Linked DNA regions of Bombyx mori. The protein of the gene in region 1 purifies or fractionates together with the protein of each later gene. This does not show direct contact. Links are inferred from orthologs where the notes say so. Each region holds a gene or a part of one and is shown on either strand. Other genes may lie near its edges.

What was found.
Region 2: the proteins of GATA zinc finger domain-containing protein 1 (region 1) and mrg purify together in Homo sapiens (affinity purification with mass spectrometry; 7 studies listed by BioGRID and IntAct, counting the BioPlex papers as one, with this or other methods). This does not show direct contact. The link is inferred for Bombyx mori from reciprocal best matches to the Homo sapiens genes GATAD1 and MORF4L1.
Region 3: the proteins of GATA zinc finger domain-containing protein 1 (region 1) and PHD finger protein 12 purify together in Homo sapiens (affinity purification with mass spectrometry; 7 studies listed by BioGRID and IntAct, with this or other methods). This does not show direct contact. The link is inferred for Bombyx mori from reciprocal best matches to the Homo sapiens genes GATAD1 and PHF12.

The regions. Positions count from the first base shown.
Region 1 is NC_085134.1:2,611,176-2,615,331, reverse strand, and holds GATA zinc finger domain-containing protein 1, read right to left. Parts: upstream 2,689-4,156; 5' UTR 2,152-2,688; coding exon 1,762-2,151; intron 1,524-1,761; coding exon 1,337-1,523; intron 840-1,336; coding exon 673-839; 3' UTR 622-672; downstream 1-621. UniProt on the Homo sapiens protein: Component of some chromatin complex recruited to chromatin sites methylated 'Lys-4' of histone H3 (H3K4me), with a preference for trimethylated form (H3K4me3).
Region 2 is NC_085127.1:11,194,389-11,198,717, reverse strand, and holds the start of mrg (mortality factor 4-like), read right to left. Parts: upstream 2,914-4,329; 5' UTR 2,887-2,913; coding exon 2,859-2,886; intron 2,743-2,858; coding exon 2,625-2,742; intron 2,000-2,624; coding exon 1,887-1,999; intron 1,335-1,886; coding exon 1,239-1,334; intron 391-1,238; coding exon 300-390; intron 270-299; exon of another isoform or gene 38-269; intron 1-37. UniProt on the Homo sapiens protein: Component of the NuA4 histone acetyltransferase (HAT) complex which is involved in transcriptional activation of select genes principally by acetylation of nucleosomal histones H4 and H2A.
Region 3 is NC_085122.1:14,111,634-14,115,286, reverse strand, and holds part of PHD finger protein 12, read left to right. Parts: intron 1-1,372; coding exon 1,373-1,506; intron 1,507-2,235; coding exon 2,236-2,354; intron 2,355-2,480; coding exon 2,481-2,635; intron 2,636-2,839; coding exon 2,840-3,192; intron 3,193-3,278; coding exon 3,279-3,485; intron 3,486-3,653.

The DNA.
Region 1 (4,156 bases):
ACTATGAATACTTATACCAAATTTTCTGGAGGAAAAAAAATGTTGGTTGGTTTGAATGATTAAAGTGAATGATGTGTGTTATTGAATGATTGATAACTGTCCACTTCGATAAAGCGGCACGACACGAGAACCCTCTCATCGTGGCCGCTGGTAACTACATTCCCGATCCTGCGGACAGAATGGAAAGCAGTCGACGTCGCCCAAAACACGTCATCTCGGATCCTCCTGATCCACTAACGGTGCTTTTAGGTACTTAAAGCACCGGTCACCGTTCTCGTCGAACCCGTCGCTTGCGACGAAGGGCTCGACGAGTAAATTAACTCTCAGACACAGCCCACTGAGTTTCTCGCCGGATCTTCTCAGTGGGTCGCGTTTCCGATCCGGTGGTAGATTCTGCGAAGCACGGCTCTTGCTAGGGTTCGTGTTAGCAACATCGTCAGGTTTGAGCCCCGTGAGCTCACCTACTAAAGTTAGGGTTACGCTGACAGCCGCTAGGGCTATCAGCTTAGGTAGGGAAAAAAAAAAAAAAAATTATAACTGTGAATGATATCGAAATTCAAATTGTGCTCTAAATTTAAATAAATGTTAACTACGGGGTATATGGGGTAATAAAACTAAACATAAACAGTATTTTTTTGTAACAAAATGTTCACTTTGCTTAAATATAAAAGTCTACGTTCTCTCTTTAGCTTCCATCGAAGTCCATACAAAACCAGTATAATTATTCAGTTCATTATCAGTCAGTGGGTATGGACTGTTGCTCGCTTTGTAGTAATCAGATGGAGCATGCATCACAAATTCCATGTATTCCAGTTTCCGAGGCAGCTCTTCTTCAGGGCCTGAAAATTTACAGCAATATTAACCTTAACTGTCACATTTTTTATATACACTATTCTTTTTTTTGCTATATGGCAGTTGAGTTTTCGTGATGCTATTGTTGCCAGTATTGAGTTAGTAAAAATCATATTTACAAAATAAAAATAAAAAATTAAGCTGAATTTAATTAAGTTGGTTTATTTCATTATATTCATTATATTGGGATGAAATTACATGATATAGATTGAAACAAGACGAGAGGAAGTGAAATCAAACAATGCAGGCTTTTTAGAAATGCCGTGTCAAGCGACTTATTTCGTTTTCTGCTATTCACGAGCTTTGATCGAATACACATTTAATGAGTCACTATTATTACAAGTGGAAAATCTAAAGCACTAAATTTACAAAATGAAAAAAATCACCCAAAATGCCTTAGATATTGAATAAATACTTTAATCACCTACTTCTGCCTGTTGCAAATATCTGTATTTCTAATTAAAATATTATTAAAAGCTCATACCAATGATATATGTAGCAGGATCAAAACATTTCTCTGGAGGTGGGCTCGCTTTTGTAGGTAATAACCAAGTAACAGCTGCACTCTTCTCACAGTACTCATCAGTTAGGAAGCCTCTAATTTGGGCATAGTATGTGCCACCATCAATGTCAGTCATCGAAACAATATCACCAACTTGCATGTACATACCCTGAAAAAATTACCACAGACTATTCAAAGCAGAACCGAGGTAATTTTTCAAGTTTTCATGTTTACTGTGAATAATAAGTTAGGGTTTTTTAAATTAAATTAATCTCTAATCAGTTTTTAAACTATAATTAGTATGCGATATAGCCTCAAGATTATTGAAAAATAAAAAAAAAGGTATATTTCTACAGCTGTTGTATATCTAACTACAGATTTTAATTGGATTAAATAATTGAACAGACCTGATAAAATACTGAATCACTTGTAACAACAGTCGCTGTAGCTGTTGGTGCTTTCAATGGCTGCCTTTTGAATAGACTCCTGCGTCCTCTGCCCCGCGGCGCCGGCTGCTTCAATGGCGGTGGAGCAGGTGTTTTAGGTTTGTATCTCGTTGATCTAGTGCTTTTCCTAGTGCCCTTGCCGGTAGCTTTAGCCGGCGTAGACTCCTCATTTTTACCATTATCTTTGTCTTCCTTAATGTCTTCACAATCGGTTTTAATACTGCTGTCCAATTTTGATTCCTTCGGTGTCACCGTTGAAAAGTGGCAATCATTACAGATTTGTCCGTTTTCTGCGCTTCGCCATAACATAGAATCGTTGGTTCCGCATTGACTGCAAATCGGTTTTGGCATTATGTTTGTATTTTTTCAATTTAAATAGATAAATATTCTAAAATAAACAAATCGTCGCGTTCAAATCCAAAACCAAAACAAAGTCTGTCTATCTATCTATCGCCTGTTCACTCTGTTCAATGTTCATCAAAACATAGCTGACAGTTGACACTCGCTTAAGTCATGGTTCTGTTGCTCCGCTGATTCTAAAGTTTTTATCGATAGACGCATGATGTCTTCACAAAATAAATTTATATGAAAGCGAGCAAACAAAAATGATTCAATCTATCAATTTAATCTCAATTTTCTGATCTTTTCAGTTTTAAAACTAATTTGTTTGCGTCTAACTGGAAATTTACTAGTGTTTAAAATTACTGCTAGATGGCGCTGTCTACAAAATTGTCTAAATCGTTGCAAACATGTCTGATACCTAGTTAGGTAGGTAGGTAATATTACATTTCGTAGTTTTTGTAGCTTCACTCAAATATAGTCTCAAAGAATGCGCTCACCATTATATTTTATTTAAACAAAATTTGTTGTGTGAGGCCTTCCCTGTCTACATGTAATGAGAGATTAAAAAAGAATCGATTGGAATTTTACAAATTTTTATGCAACTTGTACTCGTTTATTTTAGAAACAAAGAAAGCTGTACAAGTATTAATGCAACTATAATCCCTATTTTCCATTATTCTTTTCTCTAGCACCAATTTATGGCATACTTCATTTTAACTAATTACCAGAGACAATATATTTACGCTGTCGTTTTTTTTTATTGCTTAAGTGAGTGGACGAGCTCACGGCCCAGTTGGTGTTAAGTGGTTAGCGGAGCCCATAAACATCTACAACATAAATGCCGCAACCTACACTGAGATATCAATTCTAAGGTCCCAGTTTTTACAGTACAACGGCTGCCCCACCCTTCAAACTGTAACACATTACTGCTTCACGGGAGAAATAGGCAGGATGGTGGTACCTACCCGTGCGGACTCATTACCACCACTATCAACCATGACACGTGAGACAGAAAGCTAGGTTGTATTCTTTATCGGCTGTTTATCCTTCAAATAAAAAATAAAAAAAAGGCACATTGACAGCTTCAAGGCCCTAATACGCCATCAGGTCAGATATTCAAATTCAATTTTAAAATATTTCTAATAAATTAGCTGTAAGTTATATACACAGTTTTCGCCGACTCCTTTTTGTATAATATATAAAACATTTCCACTTACATGCAAAAACCTACAACAATATAAATCTTTGAACATAGCAAATGCTCAGATAAAAGCATTTAATCATTTTGATGGCACCGATTTGCATAGAAACCGTTTTGCTGTGAATTACGACGGATCTGATTGCACAATATGGCGGTTAGCGATACTGGTGTGAAAATTTATTGTCTGTGCTCAACTATTAGCCCGTAGATTGCCTACCGAGCTGGCAATAATTTTTCATTGTCACTAAAGCTTAATTGAGGTAAAGTTACCACATATTTTACTAGTTTTATCTAATATTTTGGCACTTAGCACAACTGGTGGTAGGACCTGTTGTGAGTCCGCGCGGGTAGGTACCACCGCCCTGCCTATTTCTGCCGTGAAGCAGTAATGCGTTTCGGTTCGAAGGGTAGGGTAGCCGTTGTAACTATACTGACCTTACAACTTATATCTCAAGGTGGGTGGCGCATTTACGTTGTAGATGTCTATGGGCTCCAGTAACCACTTAACATCAGGTGGGCTGTGAGCTCGTCCATCCAACTAATCAATAAAAAAAAATAAGAATACAGAAGAATATGTACTGTTTTCTGTTCATCCGTCTGTTATGTAGCAGCGGTTATAATTGCCCACACAAAAAAATCTATAACCTTCTCTTATTATTAGGCGAACATACATTACGTACCGGTTAAAATTTTGTGTGAAGCCAATTATAAGTTTGCGAAGTGACATTTGGTTGGAAGTACGAATGTAAAAGTAGCTTTTGAAACGTTAACGATGGAACTTTTAGCGAAGTCGCCTATAACTTTTAACGAGAC
Region 2 (4,329 bases), on another chromosome or scaffold:
TGCTAACACGAACCCTAACAAGAGCAGTGCTTTGCAGAATCTACCACCGGATCGGAAACGCGACCCACTGAGAAGATCCGGCGAGAAATTCAATGGGTATATTGCTACCATTTCCATTATTAGACGACTATTTTTGAACCCCAAAATTGTATGGAATGTTAAAGCGGTACACATATATAATTATCAACTTTTATATATAAGCATGAACTTAAGTAGGTGAACCTGTGTAGGAACATGAGTAGGTTCCAAAAGATTGCAATATGCGTGTGAGTGTGTGTTAAACATACGGACAGACATACTTAGGTTGATCAGATCCAGAATCAGCAGGTGTATCTTTACTCTGAGTTTTAGTTGTTTTTGCGGGAGCTGGTGTACTATCGGACTCTTTTACTGAAAAGAAAACATTAACATGAGTTTTAATGAGAGATAAAATTTAAATTGGATCTCACACTGAATGCCAACTATATTTACAATGGGAACTCATTTTCCTAAATACCTACTTGTTTTGTCATTATAATTTTTTTTTTTTTTTATTTGCGTTAATAAACCAACTACCTGTTGGAATACATCTTTTTAGTGGGTCGAGAACTGAATTGCATTCTTATGACAGCTGTCCTATCCTTTAAATCAGCAACAAGCTGCTTCGTAACTGTATTAGTGAGGATATCTGTTCTTCTTTTAATAAAAGGATTTCTAAGTGCGGGTTGTATAAAGACACACACACAGTGAACTGCTTTGTTACCCAACACATGTTCTTAAGTTCATAATTAAATAATAAAATATAATAATAATAACAATAAAGTGAAACAGTGTGAACATCGCTTTGTTTGTCAAAACATATGGTTCGAAATAAGCAGGCCATTCCAGAGAAAATTTTAATGTGAGTAAAAGGAATCCTTCAAAATCCATCCCAGCTTCTCCTCGTTGTGATTAGATCCAATTTTATTTTAAACAAAAACTAAGGCGAGACAAAACTGACACACTTTAATAATTTGCTAAACAGAAGTAACATACTTTAGAATTGCTAATTTTTTTAAGTTACCTTTTGCTGACTTTCATCCACAAATAAAAAAAAAAAAAACACTAATTGGAAAGCATTAGGTTCCTGGTGTCCATAGCTTTGATACATCAATAAAAACACCATAATACTATAGCTATCGACTTCTTATTCATCTTGAATTTTTAGGCTTCCAAATCTAATAACCTTAGCAAGCTTCTGTTAATGATAACAAAAATACCTTGAGTACTACTCGCAGGGGTAGATGCTCTTGATTCTTCTCTAGCTGGAGTAGTTGCAGCAACTGCTGCATCAGATTTCCTACCCTTTGCGGGAGCTGCAATTGTATTTAATATTGCAGATTTTTAGACTGTTGTACAGAATGATCATATTGGTTTATTTAATTTTCAAGAATCTATTGCAAAATCAAGAAGTAATACCCATTAAAACTATAAATCACCTGTTGTCATATTTTTACATTTGTAACTATCACAAAAACTATAAAAGTATAGACAGTACATAAAATGCCAGGATGAACTAATAAAAATAAGAACAGACTTTTTCTTATCATGTCTACTTTACTGTCAAACTCGCAAAACTAAGAAAATGTTAATTTAAATAAATCAAAGTAACAACAATATCTTATACTAGTTCATACAGATTCTAAATCTGATTTGTTTTCCTATATATAAAAATTTAAAGTATTTTTCAAATTCATAAAATATGTACAAATCAACTGATTTTTAATCCTTATACTTGCACCACCCTCTAGAATTGCAAGAGACAATCCAGTGTTTAATGGTATTATTTCTTTTAATTATAAAACCAAATATTTCCATGGTTCCAAATATTTTTAAATGTAACTTAGAAAACGGTGTAAATTACTAACTTTTCTTAGTTTTAGTTGGTTGTGCGGAATGAGCTCTTTGGACTTCTTTCTGCCTTTGTACATTTGCTTCATTGTACTTCAGAACACGGCTTTCAGGCACCCATTCATCCCAACTGAAATAACATTAAGACATTTATAATATACAATTTGTATTTCTCTTTTCAGTAGTTTTTCATATCATACAGCTAAATAAATTTGGTTTAAATTTAATGTTTATTAATCTACTAATAATTTTAGTGGTATGGATTCAGTCCACTGTAATTTTATTATAAGTATTAAGACTATTAAGTTAGATTTCTATAAAATACTTTTAATTTTATTGTTAAAATATTTTGATGCAATCCTTTAATTTGTTTTTAAGTCGGTGAGTTTTTAATCTTGTGTAGTTTTGAACTTCATGTGTTCTTGTGTTATTATTGATCAATGTTATAATATATTATTGTTTAACAGTTTAACATTAACCAATAAAATTTTTGGTGTGGTGCTATATGATTATAATTTTGAACAGCAAAATAAAATACTGTGAATATCACTAAATTTCTTAACTTAAGCTTTATTGTATGAATTATAATGTATAGCTTGCAGGTTTTTATAAAATAATAGTACATACTTTAATGGTAGATACTAATTACTATTGAATCCTTTCAAGTCTTCGTGATTCAATCGGTCACCGTTCAACAAATTTCGTTTACATTACTTGTCTTAATTTTCGTCAAATCTGACATCCAAATGACTTACTTTTTGTTCCATCCCGCGTAATGAATAAGATACCTCACGTGTTTGTCCTTTGTAACTGAGCTTTTTAAACATTTTGCTTCATAAATTAGCGGTCCGTGGAAACATAGCACTTTTTCACCTGAAATTAAGGAATTTGCATTGAAATAAATTACGGTAAATAAACCGATAAATATTTTCAAATAAATTAATTGATTCTAAACATTTATACTGAATAGTGTACTAAAAATAATTTACCTTCAGCAAATTTTAACTTTGGTGCCATTGCTACATAATGTGATTATTTGTTTACAGTTTACAAATGGCTGACTGACTTGTGACTTGAGTCGTTTAATTTTTACAAAAGAGGAAAGGCGAAGGTAAAAGACCATACTGCCAAATGTTTCCTGTGTTACACATAAAATGAAAATAAAGTTAATTTACAATAATAATTAACTATAGAATTATATTTTAACCTGCTTTATACATATTAAGCTATATAAATTTAGGGCGAAAATGGGCATCCTTGTTAACTAGTCAGTTTTGCCTTAGGTAGCTGTGTAGCCATGGAGGATAGAACTAAGGAATATCATTTTGTATAGAGGACAAGTTGAAAAAGTCTCCACCTCTAAACGGTAAGATATTGTTCGAAGACTCACCGAAATATCGCTAGTATAGAAAGTGCAAATGATATGAACACAGCAGTTTTAAACAAACTGAAATGTACTAGATGGCAGTGAAGGCTATGTTCCGATCATTAATTGAAATTCTGGAACTATTCAATTTGTCTATGTGTGTTCTCTGTATTTGTATTACGCAGCATTATATTAAAGTTTTATCTAGTCTTTGCTACACATATGGAGGGTAGAACTAAGAAGTACCATCTCAGTATAATAAAAAGTGTCTGCTGAAAGGAATATAATTAAGCTGGCGCCATAGAAGCAAGTGGAAAGATTTAAAAAACAGCGCCATAAACTACCACCCTTCGGTTATGTTCTAGCTTGCACTGCGAGTACTGTAAAGTCGGATGTCAATATAGCGAAGCTGTTCCTTCATAGTTAGATATATTGGTTACTATTTAAAACGGAACGCAGCATAGTATACTGTCATCACATTTTTTTTGCGTTGTTTTCACTTCAACAAAAATTAGCGGTTTCATATACAAACTGTATAACATGGGACTACAGACTCGTGCTCATCATACGAGACTTGTTGAATTGTTCGTTTCGATATTGAGTAGAGGGAGCTCACTCTCGCCCCCGTCATCTGACGGCCAGAGTCCCACAAGGCTCCGCGCTCTCCCCGTTATTATGTAGTTTGTATATCAATGATATACCCCGGTCTGCGGAGACCCATCTAGCGCTTTTCGCAAATGACACGGCTATCTACTACTCGTGTAGGAAGAAGTGGCTATTGCATCGGCAATTCCAGATCACAGTAGCCACTGTTGAATAGTAGTTCTGGAAGTAGCGCATTGACATCAACCCCACGAACAACACAGCGGTGCTCTTCAAAAGGAGTCGCCCTCCGAATACCACTTCGAGCAGCCCATTCCCTAATAAGCGCGTTAACACCTCCGCGTTCGCCCGATCACTCTCTTTGGCCAGCCCATACAATGGGCCTCGAAGGTCAAACGTTTAAGCGTCACTCTCGGCAAAGGGACGACATTCCAACCCCTCAATAAAAACGGTACCGGTAAAATGGGGCGATTAGGGATTGACAGGCGAAT
Region 3 (3,653 bases), on another chromosome or scaffold:
ATTTGGGTACCTCACGAGTTCACTGAAAGAAACCTAATGAACAGTGTACTCATTTGTGATTCTTTATTACGACGTAATGAAACCCAACCATTTTTGAAGAAGCTGATAACTGGTGATGAAAAGTGGATCACGTACGACAACAACGTGCGAGAAAGGTCGTGGTCAAAGGCCGGTCAGGCTTCGAAGACTGTGGCGAAACACGGGTTAACTCGCAACAAGGTGATGCTGTGTGTATGGTAGGATTGGAAGGGCACTATTCATTAGGAACTGTTACCACCAGGCAGGACCATCGATTCTGAACTCTACTGCGAACAACTGATGAGATTAAAGCAAGAAGTTGAGAGAAAGCGGCTGGAATTAATCAACAGAAGGGGTGTGGTTTTTCATCATGATAACGCTAGACCTCACACATCTTTAGCCACTCAGCAAAAATTAAGAGAGCTTGGCTGGGAGTTGTTAATGCATCCGCCGTATAGTCTTGACCTTGCACCTTCAGATTTCCACCTGTTTCGGTCTCGTCAGAATTCTTTAGGCAGTGTCAGGTTAACATCACGAGAGGACTGCCAAAACCAATTGTCGCGGTATTTTGATCACAAGCCCCAAAATTTCTATAGCAATGGGGCATGTCCTTACCTACAAGATGGCAAAAAGTTATCGAACAAAATGGTACCTACATACTTTAGTTAAATGTAAACAACTATATTAAAAAATATTGTGAATTTTCTTAAAAAATGCGATGAAACTTTTCCCCCAACCTATTACAATGCGCTGTAGCCCAAATCTATAGATTTGACACGATTTATTGACTTAACGGACATCAATATGAGTGGTAAAATCAAATAAAATTGAACCACTAAATTGACCAGTACAAAAAAGTTTATTGACATTAGCTTACTTACTCCTGATACAGCATTAATTTTTTAACCGTTGTCGAAAAAAATCTTAACTCGAATTCACAATAAAACGCATATCTATGAATAATAAAACGCACATCCGTTAAATTGACAACACTGCCAACCTACAAAAAGAAGTTAGGGGAACTCCTTAGGCATAACTTTTGAATTTCTCTCAACGGAGTTGTCATGATTAAAGTGGGGTTGCAACCTGTCATCTTTATTTTGGAAATGGAGAAATTTCCAAAAGTTCAGTTCGATCGAGATTTCTGGTAAGGATTCGAGGGCCCCCTGAGCTCGAGGGCCCCGGGGCACTGCCCCGCCTAGCCCCTTGGTAGCTACGCCACTGAGGGCCAGTCGGTGAGATAGAGATTTTGACACTCGACAATTACGTTGTAATAAAAATTGAATTGAAATTGAATATCTTGAAATAAGAGCTGGTGTCGCGGTGGCTCAGTGCGCGTACTGCTTGTGTCCAGGACTGGAAGCTGGTGAACTCCATCTCGGCGACGGAGCGGGTGGCGCTGTGGGACCGGTTCGCGGGGCCCGTGGACCAGCACGCCATCAAGATAGACTTCCTGCGCCGCGCGAGGAACCCCAACCCCAGGTTCAGGTGAGGGCCCGCTCCGGACCCCGGCTCCCACTTCTCTGATCCGGCCCCGAGAAGCCCCCAGTGCGAAGGGCTCATAAGATCAGCAATTTCGCTGTCGAATTCTATATTATCGGATAAGAAACTTTATGGTAATAAAAATATAATATATAGTTTAAAAATTTTGAAAACGCATATAATTAGCAACTCGAACTATTTTTATTTTATTTTTATTACTTAAATGTGTGGACGAGCCACTAGGTGTTAAGTGGATTTCGGAGTCCATAGACATCCACAGCGTAAATGCCGCCACCCACCTTGAGACATGAGTCCTAAAGTCTCAGTTTTACAGTATAGTACAACGGCTGTCCCACCCTTCAATCCGAACCGCATTACTGCTTCACGGCAGAAATAGGCGGGGTGGTGGTACCTACCCGCGCGGACTCACAAGAGGTTCTACAATCAGCAATTACGTAAATTATAATTTTGCGTGTTTGATTTTTATTACACAATGTACCTACACTTCACCATGGAAAAAATTGGTAGACCCCGCGGGATTCGAACACCGGTGCATCGCTAGATACAAATGCGCCGGACGCCTTATCTTTTAGGCCACGACGACTTCAAACTAACAATTGAATTATTATTTTTTACATTCTGTTGGTTCCGGCCGGGACAGTAGAGCCGAGTCGTAGCGCGGCACACGTCCAGCTAGTAGAGGCACGATACCAATAAGCAGTTGTTGTTGATTAGAATAAAGATCCCGGCCCACGTCCGCGGGCGCGTGCGCGTGCCGCCCATGGTCCGCAGCCACTACCGGCGCCCCGCCCCCCTGCTGCCGGCGCGGAGGGAGCACGTGCGCTGTCGGAACGGTGAGTGGACCATAAAATAAACGATATATGACTATATATATAACGAACTATAACTTAAAAAAGGAATGCAAAATGGCTCGCTGGTCCCGGTGGAGATAAACTGACAATGGAAAAATATTTTTTCAGTGTTAAAGAATCTGGGATTATCGAGTGTACTGGAGAGTGAGGGCGAAGAGTGTCGGAAGCACACCATCTGTATGAACATGGAGTGCCCGTCCTACAGCGGCGCCGCCCCCTGCCCCGCCGCCGCGCCGCACTCCCCCGCGCCCCGCCCCGCGCAGGTACTCACGCAACCTCGCCGCACTCGGAGACTTCTATCATTTCCACTATGACTATACTAAATTGGTAGAGCTAATTCACACCGGCGCTGGTGTCGCAGCCGGCCGGCGGAACGACGACATTAACGAAAGTACTTTGTTCGTTCCAACGAAAGAGTGCAAAATAAATAATCTAATTGTCTAATTACATTCACTGTCCCGCCCCAGGCGAGTGCGAGCCCGGGCTCGTCGGACTACTCGGACTCGGACCTGGAGTACTACACGGCGTCAGTGAAGAGACGGAAGGCCACCGGCGCCGAGGACAAGGGGTTCGGCCGGCGAGCCCGCGCCGACCGCGTGCAGCTGCGCGCCGACGAGCACGTGGAGCAGCTGCTGGCGCTCGTCGACGAGCAGCTCAAGAAGCTCGACGAGAGACTCGTGAAGCTGCTCGCCTGGCAGCGGCTGCAGCAGGTGCTGGCGGGCGAGGCGTGCGCGGGCTGGTGGCGCGACGTGCCGCTCTCCCGGGCCGTGGCGCGCGCGCTGGCCAGGCACCTCACGCGGGGCGCGCTCGCCGCGCACGGGTGAGACCCACTCACTATTTAACAAGTTTGTTTTGTACCGGTGCGCCGCCGCCCGTGCGTGATGACAGCGAGCACGTCCCCGGCAGGTTCCGTCACGTGTCGCTGCCGTCGGAGCTGCTGTCCCGGGCGGACCGCGAGCGCATCGCCCGCAGCGTGTGGGGCGCCGCGCCCGCCCCCCGCCCGCCGCCCCGCGCCGCCCCCCGCGCCACCCCCTCCCCGCCGCCGCCGCGTGCGCGCGCCCTGTCCGACGCGTGCGTGCGGGCCACACTCTGTGCTATCAACTCTATGGACAGGTAACGTGAGGAGACACGGATACCGGTTAAGTCCACGCGCAAGTAGTGAACTTCAGCACAAAACCAATATGCAATAGCCTGCACGGGCAGATCCCACCACCCTACCCGTGTCTGCCACGAAGTAGTAATACGTTTTGGTTTGAAGGGTGGGGCAACTGTTGTACTGTA